Linked DNA regions of Saccharomyces cerevisiae S288C. Each later gene encodes a partner of the first gene's protein in a complex. Each region holds a gene or a part of one and is shown on either strand. Other genes may lie near its edges. The genes, in order: HHF1, HST2, HAT1 and GCN5. A codon is read from its position in the direction of its gene.

Region 1 (3,972 bases):
AGTGACAACATATAAAAGGAAGTAAGATACAATAATATTATTATGTATAACTATCGATTTCCTTTTGTGGATTCCTATATCCTCGAAAAGAACTTCTAGTATAATCTGTGTACCTAATATTACAGCCTTTGAAAACAATGGAATCCCAACAATTATCTTATTCCCATAATTCTCATATACAAGATACAAGGGAGAAGTAAACAATGGATACAAGGAGAAATATGGCGCTAAAGGCTGATTTAATTGGATTGTTCGATTCGAAGTCGCTCAATAGAATTTGATGGCTCCCTCAGAGTGCGGTTCAAATCATTCGGATACTTTGAAGAAAGGGTAATATATTGTACCTTTGAACATGAGTTCATGAGTTGAAAAAGGTAAAAATAATCTGCTAAAATGATTACTCTTCTCTAAGAATGTGGTCTTCCCCACCCACGTGATAGTAATACATAGGAACCGTTTTACTGAACGCTACATTACCCATCAATATAATATCATGATTTAGCCGCCGAATTTTATGTAACTAAAAGGTTGCGGGACTTTGAAGCCCAGGTAGAAGTGTTTCATTCACAGAAGGAGATGCCAATGTGCTATTATTATCCCTGTGTGGCGCACTATTCAAACGGATTTGACTGTTCTTCAAAATATCGTCATCGCAGACGCTAAGGTTGTTGGGAGAAGCCACAGTCATTAGATACGATAGTCTCATGATGACTTTTTCTCGTTTTTTTTCGACGTTTTAAGGTCGCGTCGAAGTTAGGAAGGTTAGTTCATTTACAACTTGTTTTTGAATACTTACTTTCTTAATCATCTATTTTGATTTGTTGTCCCTTAGGTCTATAGAACAGGATATCCCGCCGCGCAATTTACTAATGACCTACACTACCAGACAAATTGGTGCCAAGAACACCTTGGAATACAAAGTTTATATCGAAAAGGATGGTAAGCCAGTTTCTGCCTTCCACGACATTCCCTTGTACGCTGACAAGGAAAACAACATTTTCAACATGGTTGTTGAAATTCCACGTTGGACCAACGCCAAGTTAGAAATCACCAAGGAAGAAACTTTGAACCCAATCATCCAAGACACCAAGAAGGGCAAGTTGAGATTTGTTAGAAACTGTTTCCCTCACCATGGTTACATTCACAACTATGGTGCTTTCCCACAAACTTGGGAAGACCCAAACGTAAGCCACCCAGAAACTAAGGCAGTTGGTGACAACGATCCAATTGATGTGTTGGAAATTGGTGAAACTATTGCTTACACTGGTCAAGTCAAGCAAGTTAAGGCTCTAGGTATCATGGCTTTATTGGATGAAGGTGAGACCGATTGGAAAGTTATTGCCATTGATATTAACGATCCATTAGCCCCAAAATTGAACGACATTGAGGATGTTGAGAAATACTTCCCAGGTCTGTTGAGGGCTACTAACGAATGGTTCAGAATTTACAAAATCCCAGATGGTAAGCCAGAAAACCAATTTGCCTTCTCCGGTGAAGCTAAGAACAAGAAGTACGCTTTGGATATCATCAAGGAAACACATGACTCCTGGAAACAATTAATTGCTGGTAAGTCTTCTGACAGCAAGGGTATTGATTTGACCAATGTTACTTTGCCTGACACCCCAACCTACTCCAAGGCTGCCTCTGATGCCATCCCACCAGCTTCTCCAAAGGCAGATGCTCCAATTGACAAGTCTATTGACAAGTGGTTCTTCATCTCCGGTTCTGTTTAAAATATTTTGAATTGAAAATGAGACACCTACCACGTATGCGGCTTCAAGTTGTTTAATATGTAGCTATATATCGATTATATAACTGACTCATGAATGAATATCTTCCTGCTGCAATTTTTCTTTAACCACATGGAAAGCCATAAATCTTGCCTCCTACAAGGCCTGGCTTTTTTCGAGGGTATCGCCAGGAAAAACAAATCAATAAATGTAAAACAAATAGAACCCTATTTTTTTTTATTAAAACCTATATTTTTGTAATAAAAAATAACTATTATACAACTGTTAAAGAACCCAGTAAACCTAAATATATTGATTTATATTTTATTGTGTTTTTGTTCGTTTTTTACTAAAACTGATGACAATCAACAAACTATGATCTTTCACCTCTTAATCTTCTAGCCAACTTGATATCCTTCTTTTGGATAGTGACACGCTTGGCGTGAATGGCAGCCAAGTTGGTATCTTCAAATAAAGAGACTAAGTAGGCTTCGACAGATTCTTGCAAGGCACCGATGGCAGAAGATTGAAATCTCAAGTCGGTCTTGAAATCTTGAGCGATTTCTCTGACCAATCTTTGGAAAGGCAACTTTCTGATCAACAGTTCAGTAGATTTTTGGAATCTTCTGATTTCTCTCAAAGCAACAGTACCTGGCTTATATCTGTGAGGCTTCTTAACACCACCGGTAGATGGGGCGGATTTTCTGGCAGCCTTAGAAGCTAATTGCTTTCTTGGGGCCTTACCACCAGTGGACTTTCTTGCTGTTTGCTTTGTTCTGGCCATTGTTTGCGTTTATATATTTATGTTAGATGTTTTTCTTATTAACTAGAAAGAAAGAATATAAAAGGTTGAGGAAAGAGATGTATCCCGAAGAATACACAGTCTTTTATATATGTATTTCAACAAGGAGCCGTGGAGGGTACCAAAAAGAAAAATCGCCCGGGCATTTCGTTATCTTCCACGCTAAAAGTCAAGGAGAGATATTACGGCCAGGATCGCAAAGGTGCAGAGCAAGGAAATGTGAGAAATTGTGAGAACGATAATGTATGGGACAATGCGAAAATGTGAGAACGAGAGCAAAAATCTTTTTTGTATCTCCCCGCCGAATTTGGAAACCGCGTTCTGAAAACTTCGCATCTTCACATAGTAAAACTGTTCCGAGCGCTTCTCCCCATAATGGTTAGTGGTAAAAACCGAAGTTGTTTACTTTAGCAAATGCCCGCGAATACGGTGGTAAATTGCCACCCCCCCTTCCCCATTCATTGGGTAAAGACCAATTTGATGGATAAATTGGTTGTGGAAAAGGTCTAATTCTTTTTCCTATAAATACCGAGATATTTTTTCTATATGATGGTTTCCGTCGCATTATTGTACTCTATAGTACTAAAGCAACAAACAAAAACAAGCAACAAATATAATATAGTAAAATATGTCCGGTAGAGGTAAAGGTGGTAAAGGTCTAGGTAAAGGTGGTGCCAAGCGTCACAGAAAGATTCTAAGAGATAACATCCAAGGTATTACTAAGCCAGCTATCAGAAGATTAGCTAGAAGAGGTGGTGTCAAGCGTATTTCTGGTTTGATCTACGAAGAAGTCAGAGCTGTCTTGAAATCCTTCTTGGAATCCGTCATCAGAGACTCTGTTACCTACACCGAACACGCCAAGAGAAAGACTGTTACTTCTTTGGATGTTGTTTATGCTTTGAAGAGACAAGGTAGAACCTTATACGGTTTCGGTGGTTAATTTAGCTAATTCTAAGAAAACGGTAACAACAAGCAAATATTTGGGATTCGTATTCAACTGCCCGGTTTTTCTTCTACAAATATGAGTGTATTATAGCGGGTTTAGGAGAAATATGTACAATTATAAACATATAAAGGGTATTTAATTTAATTTTAATTGGGTTTAAACAGTTTGATTATTTCTGCTACTTACCGAACTTGCATGGAATAGGGATCGCTTGTCTGTAACTTACACGCGCCTCGTATTTTTTAATGATGGAATAATTTGGGAATTTACTCTGTGTTTATTTATTTTTATGTTTTGTATTTGGATTTTAGAAAGTAAATAAAGAAGGTAGAAGAGTTACGGAATGAAGAAAAAAAAATAAACAAAGGTTTAAAAAATTTCAACAAAAAGCGTACTTTACATATATATTTATTAGACAAGAAAAGCAGATTAAATAGATATACATTCGATTAATGATAAGTAAAATGAAAAATCACAGGATTTTCGTGTGTGGT
Region 2 (4,707 bases), on another chromosome or scaffold:
AGGGGCGTTGTACCTATTAAAGACGTGAAGCTTGATTTTGATAGAACAAAATATTGGATTGGTGTGGGAGCACAACCTAGCGAAACAGTTACTAAACTATTACGAAAGGCTGGTATATTAAATGATGCATGGGCCACTAGTAAGAACAGCAATGTGAATAGGAAAGTTGTATTTGAAAGAATGGAAACATTGGAGTGAAAAAGATCGGAAAAAAAAAAAAAAAGAAAAAGAAAGGAAAGCAAAGGAACGTGTTTTAATTGATGCGAGGTGTATATGTATATGTTGTATATATGTTTTACTTGGCGCTTTTATATCTATCAGACTTGTAAATAATACATCTATGGCCAACCAGAAAATGGAGAATGAGACTTGAAATGGAATAAATTAAATTCTTAATCGAATGTGAAGAAAAGAGAAAGTGTAATAGAATTTCATTAAGATAGTGTCATTATAGGTCATGTATTGTGTGCTCCTGACTGTTCGGCACTATTTACCTTTTAAGACGCAATAAATCTCTTTTTAGCTTCAATGATTCATTTGGTAAAATAGAGGATTCTTCAGTGGACACGTTTGCTGTAGGTAAACGAGTACTAGCTAAGGGGGACGATATGATATTGCTACGTTGTCTCGATAGCAGAGCTATGTTAAAATTAAATGCGGAATCTGTTGTAGGCGTTGGCGTGAGTAAAGAAAAGGCATTACTGTTGCTAACACTATTGTTAGAATTTGTGCGGGCTAAGATAGGTTGTGGTTGTAATTCTGAAATATACTGGGACGAGCCATTTCTATTCTTCATTGAGACGTTGGATCTTTGTAAGGAATACCAGTTCAACGTGTTGGTCAGGCTGGTAGTAGAGCTTACATTCGGATTCGAGTTTGTGTTTGATAAGGGGATTGGATCGGTAATATCTGCGTTAACAAACGGGGAGGGAACTCTAAGCATTTCAGAAAACTGTGGTGGGGGTGGTGGGGGTAAAGAAGTTAAAGAAGTGTTACGAGAAAGATAGCCGTCTTTTCTGACCTCTTGCAACAAGCGCTGTCTTACCAATGTTAAAAGCCAGCTATTTCTGTCACATCCGATATCCAATTGTTGAAGCTCAGATTGCTGTATAGCCGCTTTGGCAACTCTATTCAATATTCCTGAGGGAGGGTTTGTAGTATCAAACGGAGTTATCGTAGGATCGCTGCACGTGTTTTGGTAAACTTCTAATAGAAGGCCGACAAACTGCGGTGTGAACGAAGTGAATTGAGCGTTATTGTTGTAAAAGGTATGTTGTTTGAAATTCTGAGCGAAATCGGAAACGGAACTCGCCAGCGAAGAGGCGCTATTCTGTCTGGTTCTATTAGCATTGAGGTAAGGTGGAAAATACGAGGCATCCGAGCTTTTCGCCTGATTGGAGCTGCTATTATTTATAGGAGTCATTACCGGAGTGAAAACGGGAGTGGACAAGTTTCTGTCAAATGCAATCATGTCATCGTAATCACAATTTAACAACGGCTGAGGGTCCTGAGTTTGATGTTGAGCTTCTGGTTGGATGGGCAACGCGTCTTCGGGCTTGCAATTCTTGTCCTTATTTTCTTGAGATCGCCTAGAAGAGCCGGCGTGTAATCTCTTGTGCAATCTTTCCAGCAGCATTCTATATCCTATTAAACTGGTTCTAGTTCGCTTTACTAAGAAGGGAATTACAGGTTGAAGCTAGGGGGAGGAAAATACACGCTTCTATAATAGCATTCTTATATATGTTTATCTACAAGGGAAATAGAGCTATACGAAAAAAATAGAAACAGAGACAGCAACAGGAAACAGAAACAGAAACAAAAACAGAACTTTGTTTAAAGTTCGGAGTTCAAGCGTCATTTCTACACTAGTTCTTGATGAGACCTAATGAGTTTGACGTGCCTATCCAGATTGGGTGACGCGTAAAGGAGTATACCTCCTTTTTTCGCTTCACTTGAGCTTAAAATGACCATTTCTATTTCCCAAAGTGGGCATATGTCTTCCCCCTGCGCGAGTTCCGGAGTGGCAAAAAAATGTAGTAAGAAGCCGCCCTTCCCGCGCCGTTTTCCTTACGGAGGCGTCTCCCGCCCTACGCAGAGGCCCCCTGCCTGCGTGCTTTCTGCCGTCCAGCTATGGCCCAGCATTAACTCTGTTAGCTTCGCCGATCTTAAGAATAAGGAATAGACCACATTCTCTGCATGTGTTTCCATCTTTCGTAACTGTCTCTGTATCAGTAAATGTCGCTATCTGTGCCCGTCACTGAGCTACCAACCAGACGTACCGCGATCTCTCCGTGTTTCGATGTCTGTTTCTACCGCCTCTACAGAGATGTCGGTTAGGAAGATCGCTGCTCATATGAAAAGCAACCCCAACGCTAAAGTAATCTTTATGGTGGGTGCCGGGATATCCACTTCTTGTGGGATACCAGACTTCCGATCTCCGGGAACTGGCCTGTACCATAACTTGGCCAGGTTGAAGTTGCCGTACCCTGAAGCAGTGTTCGATGTCGATTTTTTCCAATCGGATCCTTTGCCATTTTACACTTTGGCTAAAGAGTTGTATCCCGGAAATTTCAGACCTTCTAAGTTTCACTATCTTTTGAAATTGTTTCAAGACAAAGACGTTTTGAAGAGAGTATATACCCAGAATATAGACACTTTAGAAAGACAGGCCGGTGTTAAGGATGATCTGATCATCGAGGCCCATGGCAGTTTTGCTCACTGTCATTGTATCGGATGTGGTAAAGTTTATCCCCCACAGGTTTTCAAATCCAAGCTGGCAGAGCATCCTATAAAGGATTTTGTCAAGTGTGATGTGTGCGGTGAACTGGTAAAGCCGGCAATAGTTTTTTTTGGCGAAGATCTACCGGATTCCTTTTCGGAAACTTGGTTAAACGATTCAGAGTGGCTTCGTGAAAAAATCACGACATCTGGAAAACATCCTCAGCAGCCTCTTGTCATCGTCGTTGGCACCTCACTAGCCGTTTATCCCTTTGCGTCTCTGCCCGAAGAAATTCCTCGAAAGGTAAAAAGAGTTCTGTGCAATTTGGAAACGGTGGGCGATTTTAAAGCTAACAAGAGGCCTACAGATTTAATAGTTCATCAGTACTCGGATGAGTTTGCCGAGCAACTCGTTGAAGAATTAGGTTGGCAAGAAGATTTCGAAAAGATACTTACGGCCCAAGGTGGAATGGGGGATAACTCTAAAGAGCAATTACTTGAAATTGTACATGATTTAGAGAATTTGAGTTTGGATCAATCTGAACATGAGAGTGCAGACAAGAAGGATAAGAAGCTACAGCGTCTCAATGGCCATGACAGCGATGAAGATGGAGCAAGCAACTCCTCTTCTTCACAAAAAGCCGCTAAAGAATAATGTGTTGGTTGCAATGTTTTCCGTCCCCCTTTTTTTTTCCTTATTCATCTAGCATGCGCGGCAATTTGATAGTTTAAAAATAAAAGAGACGCGTAATTGAGCTTGGCTTTCCTACGCGTTTGACATTGCATACATATTCTTTCCCCCCACCCCCTTATAGATATCGAAAAATTTGTAAGCTCTGACGTGCAATTCTACTTTAGCCAATTAGGTTTGATAAAAAATACGGCGCCAGCTGACTTTTTTCTCTTTCTGGATAAGTACTCAGAATATATAGATAAGTAGAATGGGTTCCCGAACCGTCAATGCAGCCAATTCATCTCAATACTGCGCCGAACAGCTTCTGAAGCGATCTTGACTTTGTGGGCAGCTTGAAATTTTCTTGGATGATTCTGTCCTATTTGAGCTTTACCTCCTCCCATCGAAAGGGCGAAGTCACACCGTTTTCAAAGGTGGAGTGTTACCCCACCCCCCACGCTGACTCCACATCTGACTCTCTACCGTTTTATTATAGCGAACGTTAACTCTGAATGTATGTGTGGTGTGTATGAATTGTATTTACTGCCTGAAATGGAGTCATAAACTCCTTTATACAATTTCAAGGAATTTTTGTAGCCGCGACGGGACCAGTGGGAAGTTACTAAAACCATTGTTTAGTTGAGCCGCCCAAGATGTGACTTCATGGCAGCTATACGTTCATTTGGGCTTTTGGCACTAAAGGCGCTCTTCCGACTGTATTGTTTCCATAAGGTCTATTATATTAGTTACAACATTTTATATAGGTTTATAAAAAGAAAATAGTGCGCAAGGAAGAAATAAGCAGTAAAAGAATATTGTTTAAAAAAATCGCATCATTCCAAATTGGTTAGGATATCATTTTTTAAATTGTAAAGTAATTGATACTGGTTTATTATTTGAATATCAACTGATGGATTAGTGAATAACTGGAAAATTTCTAAATCCGTGGGGAACAAATTTGGAATCGATGCTATTTTTTTTAATATTTCCGGGTCGTTGTTTAGGCAGTTTTCAAAACAAATACTTTTTTCAACCAAACATTTGATTAACTGAACACAGGATATGTTAATTGACGGTAGGAGCACCTTTGAATAATTTTGTTGCTGTAACAAAGTATTCTTACTTGTGGAATTGTTAATATTCAATATTATCTCACTTAACTTCAATAGTCCAGATCCAATATTTTCTTCAGAGCTCAACCACACAAATGGTAAATTCTTGTTGAAATTGAAGCTAGAATCTTTGTTGCCGTTATTGTTACTGTTACTGTCTGAATTATTCTCACTGATTTCAAATACTTCATTGGATAACGGCAA
Region 3 (4,659 bases), on another chromosome or scaffold:
AGGACCTGCTACACCTTTGCTGCAGGAAGTTTTTAAGAATCTGGTGCTTGCCGGAATATCATCTCTTACTTGGCTCAAAGTAGAGTGTGCAGTTCAATCGGGTTCTCTGTTTTTAGCAGAGCTTAAAAAAGATCTTGAGCCATTGGCTTCTAAACAGCTAGAATATGAGGAAAATGACCTTAGAAAGACGTTACAGCAACCTCAGTATGATTGGACCCGCTTCTCGGTGGTGATCTTGACTTGTATTGGTGAGCAAACTGCGATGCTCGATTTAAATGAGATTAGGCGGCAGAGAGGAACAAAGTTTCCGCCTGTTCTAAACACTTTCGTCTCTGGATTTTATGGATATATATATCTGGTACTCTCAGAAACACATTTTGTTTTGCAAGCACACCCAGATAGTAAGAAGTATGATTTACGGTTACAGAACCCTTGGCCTGAACTAATAAATTACGTAGATACATTTGACCTAAGTAAAATGGATACAGCCACGTTTTCTGGTATTCCATATACTGTTTTGCTCATGAAGTGTATTGCAAAACTTGAAAGGGATGGTAATAATGGGAGGATAACGATTGATCAGATGAAGAAAGTTTTAGACCAAATTTGCCTTCCTTTAGGGAATGATGTTATCTACGAACCCAATTATGTGGAAGCTAAACGCTATGCTTACTTGGCCTGCTCTCAAAATGATTGTTGTAAAGAACTGGAAGATCTGCTCCGAAATTTGGAAATATCAGATTATGGGAACGATTGGCATGATACTTATAACTACGAGATTCTCACACTATTATTGACTTTGAAAAATATTGCTAAAGAGAATGGGGAGCTCAGCTTTCAACCTTTAACGGGCACTCTCCCAGATATGGAGTCAACAACGGAAAATTATATCAGACTCAAGAAACTGTATGAAGTAAAAGCAAAGCTTGACAAGTCTCGTGTGGAGGAAAGTTTGGCTCGCAGTAAAAAAATAGTTTCACAGGATGTCTTGGAGACATTTTGTTCTCATTACGGGGAGGTCAGGAAAATATTGCCGCCAAAAAGTGACTTGTTAGGTATTTTTAGCACCTCGAATGCCCTTTTAGATGCATTAGTTATGGTCCAATTCTGGGAGCAACCGGCAGTAACTGCAGAGGATAAAGATGAGTTTATTGGTTTACGAGTCGACGATAACTATTCCGTAATGGCCTTTTTTGGAGGTGCAGTGGTTCAAGAGGCTATAAAGCTTATCACACACCATTACGTTCCTATTGATAACCTATTTTTATATAATGGCATTAATAATTCATCCGCAACATATAAAATATAAAATTTTTTCGTCAGCTCTCCGAGTTCATAGAATGCTTATTTTATTGTACTTCCCTGGTTTGCGTTGATGCAAATAAAGACTAAATGTAAACTTTTATGATGCATATGATATCGAATGTTTACAACAACGAGAGATCACCGGTAAGAACTGTGCTCAATAAAATACAACATCGATAAATACTTAACGCTCATCCACCATTCCTGTTCAAGTCAACTATCTCACAGTTGCCTCGTAATCCAAGAGGGATCCCAATACAACGCCTCTGCACCACCTTGATAATCAATCCACAATAAACCGTTAGCGACCATTTCATCAAGAGCAGATTTACTCCTAACAGCCTCCCATCCCAAGTTTGCCTTTAATAAAGAGATACTTGAGTAGCCCAGAATTGAGCATATTTCCAAAATCTTTGTTTGATCTGATGTCAACTCATTTGGAACACTTCGTAAAAACTTTTTGCCGCGAATTTGAAATATCTCAAAACACTCTAGGCTCTTTAGCATGTCGATAGATTTTTCCAAATCATCGAGTCCAACATTCAGCTTACGAAAATGCACCTTCTCCAACTCTTGAAAAGAAATGACGCCTCCATTCATATCTTTAGTTTGCCGACAAATTTCTATAACTTTAAGACATACTTCATAATAAAAATCATTCACTGTAAATAAGTGCTTATCTCGATCAAATAAAGATAGGGGATCAATCCCAATAGATGAGCACATATGCATGAATTTTGAGCGGAATTCAGGTGAAGCTTGAAGCTCGCTATTGTGTTTCTTGGCAAATTCTACCAGTCGTTCTTGGAATACCATTAATTGGTCCCTTAGTTCGACAGATTGCTTTTCAAGTATGGTTTTGTTTACGTCATTGTACTTTCCATCCTTCAACTCGTCAAAGGCTGCCAGTCCAAACTGTTTCATGTTAGTGAGTTTCGAAGTTGGCTGTTACGCCAAGCATTTTCAAGTCGTGGTAAAGTCTTTGGTCTACTGCATCGCCTCAAAAGGTTATAATATATCCCAGAATTGATGGATTAAGTTCTTGAAATAGCACACCGTTATAAGTGATAAATATATTGTCTTCGAATAACGAATTTATTAGATTTCTATGTATTTCTACTTGAAGTTAGGAATAGATCTTTCTGGAATTGTTTTCAGCAAAATTATGCTTAAGCTATAACTATAGTGAGAATCAAGAATATGTCTGCCAATGATTTCAAGCCTGAAACGTGGACTTCAAGCGCCAACGAAGCCTTAAGAGTTTCTATAGTTGGAGAAAACGCTGTTCAGTTTTCACCATTATTCACGTATCCAATTTACGGTGACTCCGAAAAGATCTACGGCTATAAGGATCTCATCATCCACCTAGCATTTGATTCAGTAACATTCAAGCCGTATGTTAACGTCAAGTATTCAGCAAAATTAGGAGACGACAATATTGTAGACGTGGAAAAAAAATTACTCTCATTTCTACCAAAGGATGATGTAATTGTTAGGGATGAAGCTAAATGGGTAGATTGCTTTGCAGAAGAACGAAAAACACATAATTTATCTGATGTTTTTGAAAAAGTATCAGAGTATTCGTTGAATGGGGAAGAATTTGTTGTATATAAATCGAGTTTGGTTGACGATTTTGCCAGGAGAATGCATCGTCGTGTTCAAATCTTTTCATTACTTTTTATCGAAGCCGCTAACTATATAGATGAGACTGACCCGAGTTGGCAAATCTATTGGTTGTTGAACAAGAAAACAAAAGAATTGATTGGTTTCGTCACTACTTACAAGTATTGGCACTACCTTGGAGCAAAATCTTTCGATGAGGATATAGATAAAAAATTCAGAGCCAAAATATCTCAATTTCTGATCTTTCCACCTTATCAAAATAAAGGCCACGGATCCTGTCTTTATGAGGCTATAATCCAATCTTGGCTAGAAGACAAAAGTATTACTGAAATTACTGTAGAGGATCCAAACGAAGCATTTGACGATCTTCGCGACAGGAATGATATTCAAAGACTGCGAAAACTTGGTTATGATGCTGTCTTTCAGAAGCACTCCGACCTTTCTGATGAGTTTTTGGAGTCAAGCCGAAAATCTTTAAAACTGGAAGAAAGACAGTTTAATCGTCTTGTGGAAATGCTTCTTCTTTTAAACAATTCTCCATCATTTGAATTAAAGGTAAAGAATAGGTTGTACATTAAAAATTATGATGCCCTAGATCAAACTGATCCAGAAAAGGCAAGAGAAGCTTTACAAAATTCATTTATTTTAGTCAAAGATGATTATAGGCGTATTATAGAGTCGATAAATAAATCTCAAGGTTAACTGTTTATTAAATATATAATAACATATTTATTTGTTTAACAAGCCTGAAATAAGAAATTCTTTTATAAATACATCATCGAGATGATCATCAAAGTGTCTCTATAGTTAATATAAGCTTATGCAAAGGTTGAAGCCGTTATGTTGTCGTAATTCTAAATTACAGGTTATATTAAAGAGATTATCTTGACTGATATAAAATTTCTTATCATGGTAGTGATCACAAATAGATCACATGATATATTTTTTATTTTTAATTTTTTTTAATTATAAAAATAATTTTTTTCTTTAAATTAAACAAAAATAAAAAATTGTTTTTTGTTGGTTAAGATTTCCGAAAATAGAAATATTATTCAGTTGAAAGACAAAAAAACATAAATATTTCTATGAGCAAACAATTTGAACAGAAAAATAAAATTGGGGAAGTGACACACCATGGTAGCGGTTCTAAAGCGAAATCGGCAAAGCGGCTAAATAGCAGTTTTGATGACTTACTCCACACTGAAAATGGATGACCTTAAATAGGAGATAAAGCTTTTTCATCCCTATGTATTTAAGATGACTGGCTTGTCAAGCATTCTAATCATAAAAAAAAGATCGTATTTGATCAAGAATTTATACATAGACGCCGCTAAATAATTGAATACAAAATGGTACAAAGGCTTCTACCGGGCGCACATATATGCAGAAGGTCCTTCAATTCGTCTGCAATTATAAAGTCTTCTGCATTGACTCTCAAGGAAGCATTAGAAAACGTGATACCTAAGAAAAGAGATGCTGTGAAGAAATTGAAGGCCTGTTATGGCAGCACGTTTGTCGGACCGATTACCATTTCATCAGTTCTAGGTGGGATGAGAGGTAATCAGTCAATGTTTTGGCAAGGAACATCATTAGATCCCGAACATGGCATTAAATTTCAAGGTTTAACGATTGAAGAATGTCAAAATAGATTACCTAATACAGGTATTGATGGCGATAATTTCCTGCCAGAATCAATGTTATGGCTGTTGATGACAGGTGGTGTGCCAACTT
Region 4 (4,727 bases), on another chromosome or scaffold:
CAATTTTACGTCTTCGGCTAGTAATCGGATCAGCGGGAGAAACATCGTACGTACACAAGAGAATACCGAGAGTGTCGATTAATCAACCACGCTCCATGAGGCTTATCCGCATTCTACTTGCATGTTAGCCGGGAAAAGACATAAATCATCTCAATTCTCTAGAATACTCTAGAGATTATGTAAAAGCGTAGCCCCGTAGATGATTAAATAATTTTCGGTTTCTTACCCCGTAACCACGAGTTGCGGTGTTTTTGCTTCTATCGGGGCAATAAGCGGGCGCTGCTTCTCGGGAATGTAAAAACTGTGCTTCCTACCATGAAGTAGTTGGATCTTGAAATGGGTTGGGCCGGAACAATATGCAAGTACTACAATCCTTGTATTCCCATATGATTATATTCCCCTTTGCATAGGCTAGTGTTTTTTTTTTCGTTCTTTTGTTTCTTCCGCTAGGAATAGTAGTGGCGATCTGCAGAAAGACGCTCTAAGGAAAAAGAGAGAATTTCGATCAGTCCCGTACACATTACTCTTGGGAAGTTCAATTCCTTCGGACGTAATCCACATACGAACTTGGCTCTCATCTGTTGTCTTCAAGCTGTTGCGGCCCTCCTCTTTCTCTCTGTTGTACACATTTTTTGACTTTCAAAAATATGCCGCTAAGGAAACATAACCCTTGTGTATGTGAGCTTGTAGCATATGATATAGTGCTCATTGGCATGTGACAAGAATTGCGTATGTAATTGAAGTTTGTAGTGTAATTTACGAAAATAGCCGCCCTTCTTCTTCATTAACGATTATTGAGCGTAATGATATAAGATACAACGGTTTATTTAGGGCTGCATCCATGAAAATACTTTGTAATAGTGAGTCGTCGCCTTGTTTGTTTATTCAATACAATGCAGTGTCTCTATAGTCTCCTCCTTTAGTTTCACTATCTTTTCTAACCGCCGAAGATATACGAGTGTTCTGAACGAAAAACGACCTTTTCAAACATAGAATATAATTGTATATATACATATACATATATGATACGCAGCCACATTCGTAGTATCTTTAAGACACTGCCTTTCAAAAAAGCTTTGGTATTTTGAAAGAAGATCGAAGCCAAGGAACCAGGACTACAATGAATTAGACGCTACAAAGTTTCTTAATTGGAAAACAAGGAGGGACAAGGAGGAGACTTTTACAGTAAACCAGAATGCTCCTTCACTGTTCAGTTATGTAATGTTATTGTTTGGAAGATCTGAAGAGAGGCATTTCCTACAACCTCTTGAATAAAATAGTGGAAGGCATTTACACAAAGAAGCCGTGCCACTTTGGTCCGGATTTTTTTTACCTAAAATCGTCTTAAATTGGCCTGTTCGATAGCTGTCATTTGTTTTAGATATTTATTTCCTAACGTCAGCTTTAGTTACAGTATGTATGTATCAACCTTTTAGTAAGACAATAATGATTGCATGTTTGATCCTGCTTTAAAGGCATTGGAAGTAACCGTAGTGGCCGCTGTTTCTTCTTGACGGCCTGTAATTGACCTGCGACGCGGGCAATTTCTAGCGATGAGATTGGAAAAACTAACGCATAAAAAAGATTTCAAGATTTATAAGATGTTGAAACAAATCCTCTTCTCACATCTACAGTTGATACAGTATACCGTATTATCTTTCCTCGGTAGTGTTCAGAATGAGTAGGGCCAAAGAATTACAAGAGAAGCTCAACTTGCAAGCGAAACTCCAGTCTACTTTCAGTAACAATACTGCTGCAGTTTTGGACTGGCTGAAAGAATCAGATGAAACCGGCATTAGCAATGATACAGAGCGTAACAAACAGTTAAAAGATCACAAGGAGTTGGAGGATGGTAAGAAGGCATTTTTCAAGCTTCCCGTTTTGCAGATTGGATCGGGCCTACACTTCCGCACACAAGATGACGCTTCCGCCAAAGAAGATATACATACGATTGGTGAGTTTATTGAGGGTGATAAAAAGGTAAGTTCGTTGGCAAAGAAAAAGAAAAGAAGTGACCCAGGGTTGCAACGAAATAATATGTACAGGATCACTAAAGATGATACGAAAGCCATGATTGCGCTTAAAAGAAAAATGAGGAAAGGCGAGAAGGAAGGACTAAGGAAGAAACAAGAGCATAGCAAAAGCAGCGTTTCGAACTCATATAGTGCCAGTGATGAAGAGGATGAAGATGCAGGGACAATGCCGCAAAAGTCCACAAAAAAAAAATTTGGTTTACTTTTTGATAAAAAAAAGAAGGCACGTAAATAATCTTAAACACTTATGGGCAGCAAAAAATGCGTCTTTCTTCCCTCGTCTGTTGTTTTATGTAGGGCGTAATGATGTTTGCTTGTCAACAAATGAATACGTACAGAAGAGAATTCTAGCCAAGGCAATTATTGCATACTGCAAGTACTGAGTACGTTAACGTTGCTAGAATAACATTAAATGAGATGTAGCAATGCAGATCCTTCCTCAGTAGGCTTAATGCTCCACTAGAATTTTTGACCAGCCACTATTTGCTTTTTTCGCAATCCTTTTCAATACTCGAGAGCAAAGACAAAAAAAATAAGACATGTAGTGCGCTGTATGGAAAAGAATTAATTAGAACTTTACAAACGCGTGTTAAACAGGCATATTTAAGTGTTTGGACCTAAACAATATATCGACTATTGAAATTCTTACGCAAGATTTTTTATAGTTGGATATTCATATATTCTTACAACTCTCTCTACTTTCAGTTTTTTGAAGCTATATGTATCATTATATACGTTTATGGATTTTTCAAACCTAAACAATTATACTGCGTAAATGTTTGATTAAGCAATAAATAAAAACAAAGGATTGGTAAGGGAAGACCGTGAGCCGCCCAAAAGTCTTCAGTTAACTCAGGTTCGTATTCTACATTAGATGGTCACAAAACATCAGATTGAAGAGGATCACTTGGATGGAGCTACGACGGATCCCGAAGTTAAACGGGTAAAATTAGAAAACAACGTTGAAGAAATACAACCTGAGCAGGCTGAGACCAATAAACAAGAGGGCACCGATAAAGAGAATAAAGGAAAGTTCGAGAAAGAAACTGAGAGAATAGGAGGATCTGAAGTGGTTACAGATGTGGAAAAAGGAATTGTCAAATTTGAATTTGATGGTGTTGAATACACATTCAAAGAGAGACCCAGTGTCGTAGAGGAAAATGAAGGTAAAATTGAGTTTAGGGTGGTGAATAATGATAATACTAAAGAAAACATGATGGTCCTAACTGGATTAAAAAACATTTTTCAAAAGCAATTACCAAAAATGCCCAAAGAATACATTGCCAGGTTAGTCTATGATCGAAGTCATCTTTCCATGGCTGTCATTAGGAAGCCATTGACTGTCGTAGGTGGCATAACATATCGACCTTTCGATAAGAGAGAATTCGCAGAAATTGTTTTCTGTGCCATCAGTTCGACGGAACAGGTACGCGGTTATGGTGCGCATCTAATGAATCACTTAAAAGACTATGTTAGAAATACCTCGAACATAAAATATTTTTTGACATATGCAGATAATTACGCTATTGGATACTTTAAAAAGCAAGGCTTCACTAAAGAAATCACGTTGGATAAAAGTATATGGATGGGATATATTAAAGATTATGAAGGTGGTACGCTGATGCAATGTTCTATGTTACCAAGAATACGATATTTGGACGCAGGTAAGATTCTATTATTACAAGAAGCGGCCCTGCGAAGAAAAATAAGAACGATTTCGAAATCGCATATTGTAAGGCCTGGTTTAGAGCAATTCAAAGACTTAAACAATATCAAACCGATTGATCCAATGACTATTCCTGGCTTGAAAGAAGCCGGCTGGACTCCCGAGATGGATGCGTTGGCACAACGTCCCAAGCGTGGTCCACACGATGCAGCAATACAGAATATACTCACAGAGCTACAAAATCATGCAGCAGCTTGGCCCTTCTTACAACCCGTTAATAAAGAGGAGGTCCCCGACTATTATGATTTTATCAAAGAGCCAATGGACTTGAGCACCATGGAAATAAAATTAGAGAGCAACAAATATCAGAAGATGGAAGACTTCATATATGATGCCAGATTGGTGTTTAACAATTGCCGAATGTACAATGGCGAGAATACGTCGTATTACAAGTATGCTAATAGGCTAGAGAAATTCTTCAATAATAAAGTAAAAGAAATACCTGAATATTCTCACCTTATTGATTAATGCGTAGAAGAAGCTTTTCCGCTACTATTCCTTTCGAAGAAGAAATAAATGTTTAGTACGGCGAGACGATGTGATCAATTGAGGTTATTTTACTACTTTTCCTTTCATTTTTGTAAGGTTTTCTTTCTTTGTTAGTGTGACGTTGGTATTTACCTTTATGTAACTATATTTATGACATTTCAACATCCGCTTCTTCTGGACTTTCTGCAGCTTCTTTCTCTTTCAACTCTTTTATCAATTCAGCAGTTTTTTCGTTATCATATATTTTGAATCCGTCTTGCTTTGTTATACAACTCAATTGCGCGTTATTTTCATCAAGTTTCTCTTCCATCACTTGCTTTAGGATTTTTAGAACAAGAAGCTCAGCTTCTTTCAAAGTTAAAGAAGAATGCCATTCATTCAATAATTCTGCTTGTGCTCCTTCAGAGCCTGAACCAATGGCTTTGGCATTATAACGGTAAAATGTCCCAGATGGTTCTGCATGGAAAAGTTGATAACCA

Evidence for each region.
Region 2: the proteins of HHF1 (region 1) and HST2 are in contact, whole or in part, in a crystal structure (PDB 1Q1A), measured with the Saccharomyces cerevisiae proteins. Residues at the interface, in NP_009563.1 of Saccharomyces cerevisiae: Lys13 (codon at 3,197), Gly14 (codon at 3,200), Gly15 (codon at 3,203), Ala16 (codon at 3,206), Lys17 (codon at 3,209), Arg18 (codon at 3,212), His19 (codon at 3,215), Arg20 (codon at 3,218); in NP_015310.1 of Saccharomyces cerevisiae: Arg45 (codon at 2,432), Tyr52 (codon at 2,453), Glu64 (codon at 2,489), Phe67 (codon at 2,498), His135 (codon at 2,702), Val182 (codon at 2,843), Phe183 (codon at 2,846), Phe184 (codon at 2,849), Gly185 (codon at 2,852), Glu186 (codon at 2,855), Asp187 (codon at 2,858), Leu188 (codon at 2,861), Phe192 (codon at 2,873), Ser193 (codon at 2,876), Ser225 (codon at 2,972), Leu226 (codon at 2,975), Ala227 (codon at 2,978), Val228 (codon at 2,981), Tyr229 (codon at 2,984), Pro230 (codon at 2,987), Ser233 (codon at 2,996), Glu237 (codon at 3,008), Gly253 (codon at 3,056).
Region 3: the proteins of HHF1 (region 1) and HAT1 are in contact, whole or in part, in a crystal structure (PDB 4PSX), measured with the Saccharomyces cerevisiae proteins. Residues at the interface, in NP_009563.1 of Saccharomyces cerevisiae: Lys9 (codon at 3,185), Gly10 (codon at 3,188), Leu11 (codon at 3,191), Gly12 (codon at 3,194), Lys13 (codon at 3,197), Gly14 (codon at 3,200), Gly15 (codon at 3,203), Ala16 (codon at 3,206), Lys17 (codon at 3,209), Arg18 (codon at 3,212), His19 (codon at 3,215); in NP_015324.1 of Saccharomyces cerevisiae: Tyr37 (codon at 2,614), Asp42 (codon at 2,629), Ser43 (codon at 2,632), Glu44 (codon at 2,635), Ile161 (codon at 2,986), Glu162 (codon at 2,989), Ala163 (codon at 2,992), Ala164 (codon at 2,995), Asn165 (codon at 2,998), Ile167 (codon at 3,004), Asp171 (codon at 3,016), Trp174 (codon at 3,025), Tyr194 (codon at 3,085), Tyr196 (codon at 3,091), Lys216 (codon at 3,151), Ser218 (codon at 3,157), Gln219 (codon at 3,160), Glu255 (codon at 3,268), Asp256 (codon at 3,271), Pro257 (codon at 3,274), Asn258 (codon at 3,277).
Region 4: the proteins of HHF1 (region 1) and GCN5 are in contact, whole or in part, in a crystal structure (PDB 1E6I), measured with the Saccharomyces cerevisiae proteins. Residues at the interface, in NP_009563.1 of Saccharomyces cerevisiae: Ala16 (codon at 3,206), Lys17 (codon at 3,209), Arg18 (codon at 3,212), His19 (codon at 3,215), Arg20 (codon at 3,218); in NP_011768.1 of Saccharomyces cerevisiae: Pro351 (codon at 3,958), Phe352 (codon at 3,961), Val356 (codon at 3,973), Val361 (codon at 3,988), Asp363 (codon at 3,994), Tyr364 (codon at 3,997), Phe367 (codon at 4,006), Cys403 (codon at 4,114), Arg404 (codon at 4,117), Met405 (codon at 4,120), Tyr406 (codon at 4,123), Asn407 (codon at 4,126), Gly408 (codon at 4,129), Glu409 (codon at 4,132), Tyr413 (codon at 4,144), Tyr414 (codon at 4,147).

The regions. Positions count from the first base shown.
Region 1 is NC_001134.8:254,873-258,844, reverse strand, and holds HHF1 (histone H4), read left to right. Parts: upstream 1-3,160; coding exon 3,161-3,472; downstream 3,473-3,972. Other genes in the region: inorganic diphosphatase IPP1, read left to right, coding at 870-1,733; HHT1 (histone H3), read right to left, coding at 2,104-2,514. UniProt on the Saccharomyces cerevisiae protein: Core component of nucleosome. Nucleosomes wrap and compact DNA into chromatin, limiting DNA accessibility to the cellular machineries which require DNA as a template.
Region 2 is NC_001148.4:524,476-529,182, reverse strand, and holds HST2 (histone deacetylase HST2), read left to right. Parts: upstream 1-2,299; coding exon 2,300-3,373; downstream 3,374-4,707. Other genes in the region: mitochondrial 37S ribosomal protein bS16m MRPS16, read left to right, coding at 1-198; CIP1 (Cip1p), read right to left, coding at 491-1,636; SWI1 (Swi1p), read right to left, coding at 4,225-4,707. UniProt on the Saccharomyces cerevisiae protein: NAD-dependent histone deacetylase that is involved in nuclear silencing events. Derepresses subtelomeric silencing and increases repression in nucleolar (rDNA) silencing. Its function is negatively regulated by active nuclear export.
Region 3 is NC_001148.4:552,100-556,758, forward strand, and holds HAT1 (histone acetyltransferase catalytic subunit HAT1), read left to right. Parts: upstream 1-2,505; coding exon 2,506-3,630; downstream 3,631-4,659. Other genes in the region: ULA1 (Ula1p), read left to right, coding at 1-1,309; ESCRT-II subunit protein SNF8, read right to left, coding at 1,528-2,229; citrate (Si)-synthase CIT3, read left to right, coding at 4,278-4,659. UniProt on the Saccharomyces cerevisiae protein: Catalytic component of the histone acetylase B (HAT-B) complex. Acetylates 'Lys-12' of free histone H4 in the cytoplasm. The complex is also found in the nucleus, however it is not certain that it modifies histone H4 when packaged in chromatin.
Region 4 is NC_001139.9:993,962-998,688, forward strand, and holds GCN5 (histone acetyltransferase GCN5), read left to right. Parts: upstream 1-2,907; coding exon 2,908-4,227; downstream 4,228-4,727. Other genes in the region: NOP19 (Nop19p), read left to right, coding at 1,678-2,268; PUP2 (proteasome core particle subunit alpha 5), read right to left, coding at 4,397-4,727. UniProt on the Saccharomyces cerevisiae protein: Histone acetyltransferase that acetylates histone H2B to form H2BK11ac and H2BK16ac, histone H3 to form H3K9ac, H3K14ac, H3K18ac, H3K23ac, H3K27ac and H3K36ac, with a lower preference histone H4 to form H4K8ac and H4K16ac, and contributes to H2A.Z acetylation.